2 linked regions of the Caenorhabditis elegans genome follow. The protein of the gene in region 1 purifies or fractionates together with the protein of each later gene. This does not show direct contact. Each region holds a gene or a part of one and is shown on either strand. Other genes may lie near its edges. The genes, in order: ads-1 and C32H11.4.

Region 1 (5,284 bases):
GGTTCTAAGCCGCAGGTCCATAGCCTTAGCTCCTTAGGCTTAGAATGCTAAACCAACGTTAGGAATAGCCTAGATCCTTAAGCTTAGTCCTTAGGCTTAGGCCGCTAAGCTTAATCGGCTTAATCTCAAAGTTTGTCTATCTTCATCGATTTTACCTCTCCACCAAACAGATAAAGCGATCTAGTAGGCTCAAAATATGTGGCACACGCGTTCTGCCTCTCCGACATGATCTCCACATCCTTCACCACAAACTCGTCGGCAACCTTGTCCAGCTGTCCACTTGACGATGAGGTTCTGGGGCTTCTGATCCTTCCAGCCACCACCTCCTCCTCCTCATCATCCGGGGAGCAACGCTCGAACTGGAATTTAGGGTGAGTATAGAACTCGCTGTGATCCATGAGCTTCACGTGTAAATCGCACAAGTCGGTGAGCTCCGGGCATATCGATTTGAGGGTTTGCAGGTCGGGATATCTGGAATCTGGAATTTAGGAGTTGGCAGCTGGGCTTCCGACTACCTCAAATATCGCAGAACCTTGTTCAGCGCTGGCTCCGGAAGTCGTAAAAAATATTTCTCATAACCAAACTCGGCGATTCGATCTGAAAATATGAAACTTCTCGCTTTTCCGAAAGACAATTCCTGTTCGAAAGCGGAAAAGAAAACGATTTTAATCTGCTGCTGGCGTACTTTGTCTGTGTTGGTGATAAGCGGGTGAGTGAGGGGGGTTTGAAGACAGAAAGAGGTGATAAGGTGTACACATATACCACTTGCACGACGCTCTATTGTAGGCAAGTACGGAGGAGTGCGAGTTTGATTGATTTTTATTTGATTTTGGGTTTATTGTTGAATATTTTTGAATATTTTTGAATTTCAGTTGAAAAATTCTCTCTTTTTAAGTTTTGGCCTAACTCTAATTGGACTAATTTTGTGTTCAAAGATTATTTTTTCAGAAAAAATCTCATTTTCTTTGAAAAATTTTGTTAGGTCTCAAGCTTTGATGCTCAAAATGTTAAGTTAAAGCCTTTTCAACGATTAAGGCAACTTTTTCCGCACAGTTTCTAGGAGTCGTCAGGTGATGCCAGGCTGTCCCATTACGTTTTGATCTACAAAAAATGCGGGAACTTTTTGTCTAAAAAATGTGACGTCAGCATGCTTTTAATCATGCCAAATAAGTTGAGAACTCTGCGTCAATTCTCCCGCGTTTTTTTGTAGATCAACGTAGATCAAACCGAAATGAGACACTCTGACATCACAGTCTCCAAACTTTTGACAGCAGCCAAATTGGTATTTCTGCTTAAAATTGAAATTGCTACCTATTTTCCGTTATAGGTAGAAGTTTTTCCCCTTCTAGAGCTAGTTTTCCCAAGCTTTCAGGTATTTTTAGGCTTTGCAAGTCTAAAATTTCCACAAAATTAGAGAATCAAATGGAAAATTCTATTGTTGACCACCATCATGCCTCCGGTACACTTAATCACAACCATGATAAGATTAAACTAACATATGATCGGTTGAGCACCTGAAGCTTCTCGTGATTGTACTTAGGTTCCGTATGAAACCCCACTTCCCACGAACTCAGAAATTCACGATCTCGGTTCGATTCAGATCTTCGCCACTCGACTTGCAATAAATGTCGGCGTCCTATCAAACAATCGAGCACGACGTGCCGCAATCTTATCGGTAACCTCCTACACTGTCACTCTTTTTTTTTGAAGCATTTCAATTTACAGCGACAAAATCCTCAAGTGGAATGGCTGGGGGTACAGCGATTCACAGTTTGCGATTAACAAGGACGGACATGTCACTTTTACCGGGGATAAGTGAGATTTCAAGGGATTTGAGCAGATTTAAGCCGGGAGTTGGCTGAACTTGTTGAATTTTCAAGCTCCAACTTACACTAAAAATAAAAAACAACTGCGTGGCGTGTACGCAGAAAACCCAAAATTTAGGCCCCGCCTTTTTCTCGTCTACTCACGGGGAAAAGGCAAAATTCGGGACCCCAACCAATATCGGGCCGCCGACATCTCACGGATTCCGCGCGCTGCTATGTTTAACTCGCAGCGGGCGGAGACAGCTCGCCACGCCCATAGCGAGTTAAGCGCAGCGGCGCGCGGAACTCGTCAGATGTCGGCGGCCTGATATTGGTTGGTCCCGAATTTTGCCTTTTCCCGTGAGTAGACGAGAAAAAGACGGGGCCTAATTTTCGAGTTTTCTGCGTACACGCCACGCAGTTTTTTTTTATTTTGAGTGTATCAATTTCTAATTCCAGATACGAAATCTCCGGAAAAGTGATGCCACACTTCCGCCCGTGGTTCGAGAACTACTTGGGCATCGATCTAGGCTTCGTAAGCCCAGCCCAGAAGCTTTCGGACGTGATCATCGATGCCCCTGTCGAAAATGAGGATATCATTGAGTTCCTGCAGGAAAACAAGATTTCCTTCTCGAATGAGGCAAGAATCAGATTGATGAGAGGTCATGGGCATACAGTTCACGACATGATCAATTTGAGAGAGGGAAAGATCCCGAGACTTCCGGATATCGTTGTCTGGCCGAAAAGCGAGCATGAGATTGTTAAGATCATCGAAGGAGCAATGAGCCATAACTGCGCGATCATCCCAATCGGAGGTGGTACCTCTGTCACAAACGCTCTGGATACCCCAGAAACCGAAAAACGAGCTGTGATCTCTATGGATATGGCACTTCTTGACAAGATTCTCTGGATTGATCGAGAGAATTTGACTTGCCGAGCTCAAGCTGGAATTGTCGGGCAATCGTTGGAGCGTCAGTTGAACAAGAAGGGATTCACATGTGGACATGAACCGGATTCCATCGAATTTTCTACTCTCGGAGGATGGGTTTCGACTAGAGCCAGTGGAATGAAGAAGAACAAGTTGGTTATTATGATTTTTCAAGTTGTAAACTCAAAAAACAAGCAAAAAACTCGAATTTTTGTCTATTTTCGGTTGAAAAACTCAAAGATTTCCCGAATTTCTGTATTGCTGTCCGCAAATACGGTACTCCAGTTTTGACACGATGGTATTTTTGGCATAAAAACCACAAAATTTCGGGTTAATTCCTTTCGTGTTATCGAAAAAATACGATCGCACAATTTTCTCATAATTTATTTTTGATCTACCTGTTGAACTTGACTCCGCCCCTTCCTTCGACAAGACAGCCATAACAAAATAACAACGGCAACAAGTTTGGGGGGGGGGGGGCGGAGTCAAGTTCAACAGGTAGATCAAAAATGAATTATGAGAAATTTGTGCGATCGTATTTTTTCGATAATACTGTACAAATTTACAACAAATTCCAGATACGGAAACATCGAAGACCTCGTCGTCCATCTGAACTTCGTCTGTCCAAAAGGAATCATCCAGAAGCAATGCCAAGTCCCAAGAATGTCATCCGGACCAGACATCCATCAAATCATTCTGGGGTCCGAGGGAACGTTGGGAGTGGTGTCCGAAGTCACAATCAAGATCTTCCCAATCCCAGAGGTCAAGAGATTCGGAAGCTTCGTGTTCCCGAACTTCGAGAGCGGAGTCAACTTCTTCCGCGAGGTTGCCATTCAACGCTGTCAACCAGCATCCCTTCGTCTTATGGACAACGATCAATTCGTTATGGGACAAGCGTTGAAGGTGGCTTCAGATTCTTGGTGGGCTGACTTGAAGAGCTCCGTGAGCAAGATGTACATCACATCGTGGAAGGGTTTCAAGGTCGACGAGATTTGTGCGGCCACGTGTGTCTATGAGGGAAATCGCGAAGAAGTCGATCAGCATGAGGAGAGGCTGAATAAATTGGCCGAGCAGTTCCACGGAGTTGTCGGAGGCGCCGAGAATGGTCAATATGGATATCGGCTTACTTTTGCTATCGCCTACTTGAGAGTGAGTTGGAGCCGACGGGTAGATCAAATTTTGAATTAAATCGTTTCAGGACCTTGGAATGAACCATGGTGTGCTCGGCGAGTCGTTCGAAACCTCAGTTCCATGGGATAAGGTTCTCAGCCTTTGCAGGAATGTCAAGGAGCTGATGAAACGCGAGGCAAAAGCTCAGGGAGTCACGCATCCAGTTTTAGCGAACTGCAGAGTCACCCAGGTTTACGATGCCGGAGCCTGTGTGTACTTCTATTTCGGATTCAACGCCAGAGGATTGAAAAATGGCCTAGAAGTTTATGATCGTATTGAGGTAAGCTTTCGATAAAACGCCCCTGATCTCGGAATTGCCCTTATTTCCAGACAGCCGCCCGTGACGAGATCATCGCTTGCGGTGGAAGCATCTCACATCACCACGGAGTCGGAAAGATCAGAAAACAATGGATGCTGACCACGAACGGAGCAGTCGGAATTGCGTTGTTGAAGGCTATCAAGAGTGAGCTGGATCCGGCGAACATCTTCGCCAGTGCTAACTTAATTGATATTATTGGATCACCGCATTGCAAGTTGTAGATAATCATTGTTTCGTTTTTTATTATTATTGGATTTTGAAACTTGAAGAAATAAACTTTTTTGAAAAAATAATCGTTCAGAAGCTCAAAAATTGGCTCAGATGCCGGAATCTAGCTCAAAAGCTCAGAAAATTCAATTTTTGTAGAAAAACTAGTATTTCGCCTGCCGAATTGAATTTCGATGCTCTAATTTTAGCTAGGAACTTCTAAATTTGGTTTGGATCCTCAACATTTCGTTCAACAGCTCAACTTTGCTCTAATTTAGCTCTAACTCCTTTAAAATCACAGTTTAGAAGCTCAACTTTTGACTTCTGAACGCATGTGGTGTCAGGCTGTCCCATTGCGGTTTGATCTACAAAAAATGCGTAAATTTTTTGCCAAAAAAAAATGTGACGTAAGCTCTTAACCATGCGAAATCAGTTGAGAAGTCAACTGCATTTCTTCTCCCGTCTTTCTTGAAGATCAACGTAGATCAAACCAAAATGAGACAATCGGACGTGTGAACGTCCACGTGGTGTCAGAGTGTCCCATTTCGGTTTGATCAACGGATATCTACAAAAAACTTTGGGCTTGAGACGCAGAGTTCTCATAATGATTTCGCTGGGAAGAACGTGCTGGTCACATTTTCTTGTGCAAAAAATTCCCGTCCTTTTCGTAGATCAAACTAACATGGGACAATCTGGCACCACGTGCCAACGTCCAATTTTGGTAGGAATCCACATATTTCGATTGAGAATGCAAATGTTCCCAGTTTGAATCCCAGTAAAAACGTTTCACTTAGAAAAAAAAGTGAAAAGCATCAAAGAAAGTTGTAGAGCAGGCCATCAATCATTAACTCTACC
Region 2 (4,446 bases), on another chromosome or scaffold:
GCAAACAATTTATGTGATCAATTTGGAAGCCAGTAATAAACTGGATACACTTTTGATCCAAGATGCACAATGTAAGCATATTTTTATTTACAACCAGTGTCCCTATTGTTTTGGTAAAACAACTACAGTAACCGCACCATAGTAGTCCGAGATATATCGTTTGCAGCCTGCGTCTTTCAAAGAGTATATTACACATATTATAAAATAAGGGTCACGAATGTTTTCTTCATACATAGAATTTGGTTAAAAATACTGTGAAAGCATTGCAAAGTTAATGTGAATGTTTGATGTGGTTACGAAAGTCGTGGCGTAGGCGTAAAGTTAAAAATATTCGCATTTATTGTTTTCAGACACCCGAGATTATGCCGATTACGTCCAGCTAAACTGTGGTGGCAGTACCACTTGCATTGCGACAGTTGACGGAGGAAACAAAAAATCTGCAATTGCTTCGGTTCTTGTCTCACAAAACAATGAAACCCTGGTGGATATTCGAATGGATCCGGTATTTCATGAAACAGTAGTTCAGTTCATCATTTTTAAAAATTCCAGAGTGCAACAATGAAAGTCTATTATGGATCTGAGACTGCGTTTGCATTTGATTCAACTTACAAGTATGTTTACTCCTTACTTCCTTACTGATCTCAAAAAATCATTTATTTTTAGTGGTTCAACAATCAATTCGCTTCTTCCACTCACGTTCTACGGCAGTTATGTTACTCAATATGTTATCAGCAATGGAAAAGCTACTCTTACTTTTAATATTCCACAATAACCAACAAACGATATTTATTCGAATTAATAAAGCATTTCATGAGTCTTTGTGTTATTGATACAAAAGAGGAATTCCAATAAAATCGTATAATGGAGGTAAAATAATGATGGGTTGGTTGGTTGATTGGTTAGAGCAAAGTGCAGCGACCATAGAATATGCAAGTATCCAAAACAGTTAGTTTATATGAATATTCATCTGTTTGCTAATCACAAAAGTAAAGAACTACTGCATACGTATAATAAAATTTATATATTAGGGGAAAATGGAAAAATGATGCTCATGCACCTTGATAGAACCAATACAGCTAAAACGAGCCAATCGGCTGAGAGACTTTTATTCGTGAGATTTTTGTTGTGTTAAATAGTTTGGCAGGATTATGACACCTAAATCTATTTTATATTTGAAACACTTTTGGAACATTTTAAAAAATTTTAGAAAATGTTTTAATAAAATTGCTAAAACTGCTCTTGAACTTTGTAAATATGTGACTTTTTGATTTTTTCCGTTATCAGCAAGACTTTAATTGTCTTACGAAGTATCGCCTCGCCGTGAATGATGATTTTACCATTAGTGGCGTGCAATAACGATGATAATTGTCGATGAAAAGTGATGTCAGGAAAACTTTTGAACTAAACTTTGGAAAATCAAAAGCAAATACTACATTTACTACTTATACTACACTTAATCCGGGTGGCACTGAAAAAGAGCTGTGTGGAATTTGGCAACAACTTTTTGGCAAACGTCTTTTCTCATTTTCAGTTTCTTTTTAATCTGCAATCAGCAGTATTCAGTTGTCAGAAAACTGCCGCTAGGATCATTTCAAGATAATCCGTAACAGAAATATAATTTTTCGACTAGACGAGCAGTGGATGCTTCCTGCTGAAATTTAGTTTGATCTTCGCACTTGTCTATGTGCAATTTTAAACTTGAGTCCTCAACCAATAAAACTTATCAGAGACATTATGGAGCCAAAAGTGCTGATTTTAAGATTCAATTTCCTATTTCCCGATTGCTTTATCAATTTCACGCCCTTCTAAATATCATCATGTGTCTGTGTATTTAACCGCCGCGATTAAGTACTGCTGCACCGTCCTTTGAAATGCCGAGTCTTACGACTTTCCTATCTGTAGCTCTCCTGGCTTCTGTAGTGTCTGCTGTTGGCAATAGTAGGATCTTCATTTTCAGACTTTTTTTTCAAAAATCCATTTTTTTCCAGCTTGCAAGACTGGAAATGTGGTTCACAAGCCAGTAATCGATGGAACGCCTGTATACTTTCCAGCTACATGGAGAGAAGACAAAGCGGCACCGGCTCTTGCCAAGGACCAATCGTGTAGCTGGATGGTCACTATTCCCCAAGGATACTATGCAAAATTGACGATTAGTGGAAAAATGGGTGATAAGCATTCATACTTCCAAACTGTTGACTGCACTGGAAACGTTGTTCAGTAAGGGGTTTCCCGGTTTGTGAATATGAGAAAATTAAGTTTTCAGAACAAAATTGGAGACAAAGCATCCATATTACTTCCCATCGCCAAAGTTCACTCTAGTTGTGTCGAATGAAGCAGCTGCCACGTTTGCATTTAAAATTGAATGGGCTCCGTGTAAGTTTGGAAGTTTTAATAGTATTTGGGGGTTACCCTAAAAAATTTAAAACAGGCAAATTTTGATTGAGGTGGAGCAGCGCCAGTGGGGAAAGTTATAAAAACCACTCCTATGGTGCTAAAATGACCGAATATCACAATAAAAGTTTTCAAAAGTTTTTTGAAAAATGTTTATTTACTGTCAAAAAGTGAAAATTATCCAGTTTTTACCCTTCATAATTTCGGAAGTCGACCAAAAACAACTTTTTTTCCCTACATTTTTATACTGTAATTTTTTAAAAATTATTTGTATCGAAACATTGTAGGGGTCGGTACATACAATACTGCTTTGGATTTCCTTAAAAACTTATGTTTTTCAAAACTTTGGCAATCTGCCAAAACTGACCGGGAATTATGAAAAATCTAAAATTTTTTGGAGTATTTTAATATGATATTCGGTCGTTCCGGAAGTAACCAATCCGCAAAAAAGCGCCTTAGAAGTGGTAAAAACCCACCGAGGTTTCGCACCCAAATTCTTATGCCCTCTGGGTGATCTTATGTTTAACCTTAATAGATTCCAGATACCACCCAAATATCATACATCGCCGGAATTGGAATGCAGCCACATGTCCTTAATATCACACAGGATCTGTTTGCGGCCGATTTCAGTTCAGACAAAGTTGCTCTTTTCGTCTCTCCAGCCGATCCAAATGACTATTATTCCCTGAGAAGCTCTCTTGTTTTTGAGGGACAAGATTACAATGGAAACTTTGTTGCAAAGTGAGTTTTTTTAAACAAAAATGTTGAGAAAAAAAAAATCAATTTTCAGCTTGTACACGCTCTATGAAACGCACCAGCAATGGGTTTCTAAAGGCAGCATGGTCTATATCGTAAACTTGGAGGCCAGCAACAAAACCGACATTCTGTTAGTTCAAGATATACAATGTATGATACTCTTGGCGTTTTTCTCTTTTTTTTATATCTAAAGTTTTCAGATGCAAACTTTGTTGACTACGTCGAACTTAACTGTTACGGCGTGTCAACATGTTCCGCTTCTGTTGATGGTGGTGATGGAAAATCTGCCGTTCTTTCTTTATATGCCTCCCGAAGCAACGAAACTTTGGTTGATATTAAAATGGACCCGGTATGCCTTTAAAATCATTTTTAATTTTTAAACTCGTAATTTCAGAGTGCAACAATGAAAGTCTACTACGGATCTGAAACTGCGTTCGGCTTTGATTCAACATACAAGTACGTCTGCTAGCAAGGTTTACAGTTCCTAAATGTTATGTTCTTTTCAGTGGTTCAACAATCAATTCGCAACTTCCACTCACGTTCTACGGCGAAGATGTAACTCAATACGTCATTAGCAATGGCAAAGCTACTCTTACTTTTAATATTCCACAATAATTTCAAAGCATAAACGGAAGTATACTGCCATCGACGTATTAAACAGTTTTTTCGTTTTTTTAAAATAAAAGTTATGCAGTCCATCAGCGAAAATTTATAAGCCAAAGTGCTCGAATATTGGTACATTGTTTTTGCAAGATTACCAAAGTAAACAGGTAGGTCTACCTTGCCTGCAAACCTGACCTGCACATGTCTGTTGCTCTGTATTATAAAAATTATGTTTTAACAATAGGTACGTAGGTTGCCTCGAATAGAATTAGTCAACCTTGTGCCTTCCAAACAGTATTTTACAGAAATATTTGACTATTTTTATATGTTTGAACTTTGATATCTGATTTTAATAAACAATCATAATTCATACTGTGTATTAGAAATTATAATTTATTCCCACATATACAAAAAGTGTAAAAGTCCAACAAAAAAACGTGAAAGCAGTTGTTTAAAGTGGTCCTGGAATCAGGAGAGATTTCACATCTCTATTTTTATTCTTGAAATCTCTCATTCTTCTGAACGAGTTTCCAGTGACCTCATTTCCAACTTCAATCGGTCCACCGCCCAACACAATTTCCTCATTGAGAATGAGAGTTTTTGACAGAATAAGGATAAGTTGAACTTCCAAATTAAATTTTTCCTTGAGTTCTTCCAAAGCGGTTTCAACTTGAGAAAGAGTTTGATTTCTGTTGG

Evidence for each region.
Region 2: the proteins of ads-1 (region 1) and C32H11.4 fractionate together in Caenorhabditis elegans (co-fractionation; one large-scale study listed by BioGRID). This does not show direct contact.

What each region holds. Positions count from the first base shown.
Region 1 is NC_003281.10:294,873-300,156, reverse strand, and holds ads-1 (Alkyldihydroxyacetonephosphate synthase), read left to right. Parts: upstream 1-1,600; 5' UTR 1,601-1,625; coding exon 1,626-1,675; intron 1,676-1,725; coding exon 1,726-1,815; intron 1,816-2,264; coding exon 2,265-2,885; intron 2,886-2,948; exon of another isoform or gene 2,949-3,041; intron 3,042-3,311; coding exon 3,312-3,882; intron 3,883-3,931; coding exon 3,932-4,183; intron 4,184-4,233; coding exon 4,234-4,443; 3' UTR 4,444-4,503; downstream 4,504-5,284. Other genes in the region: Y50D7A.1 (F-box domain-containing protein), read right to left, coding at 156-471, 516-597. UniProt on the Caenorhabditis elegans protein: Catalyzes the exchange of an acyl for a long-chain alkyl group and the formation of the ether bond in the biosynthesis of ether phospholipids.
Region 2 is NC_003282.8:12,919,449-12,923,894, forward strand, and holds C32H11.4 (CUB-like domain-containing protein), read left to right. Parts: upstream 1-1,815; 5' UTR 1,816-1,871; coding exon 1,872-1,938; intron 1,939-1,988; coding exon 1,989-2,217; intron 2,218-2,263; coding exon 2,264-2,373; intron 2,374-2,933; coding exon 2,934-3,132; intron 3,133-3,181; coding exon 3,182-3,297; intron 3,298-3,347; coding exon 3,348-3,496; intron 3,497-3,541; coding exon 3,542-3,603; intron 3,604-3,653; coding exon 3,654-3,762; 3' UTR 3,763-3,848; downstream 3,849-4,446. Other genes in the region: C32H11.3 (CUB-like domain-containing protein), read left to right, coding at 1-71, 351-502, 550-611, 664-772; srlf-4 (SXP/RAL-2 family protein Ani s 5-like cation-binding domain-containing protein), read right to left, coding at 4,202-4,446.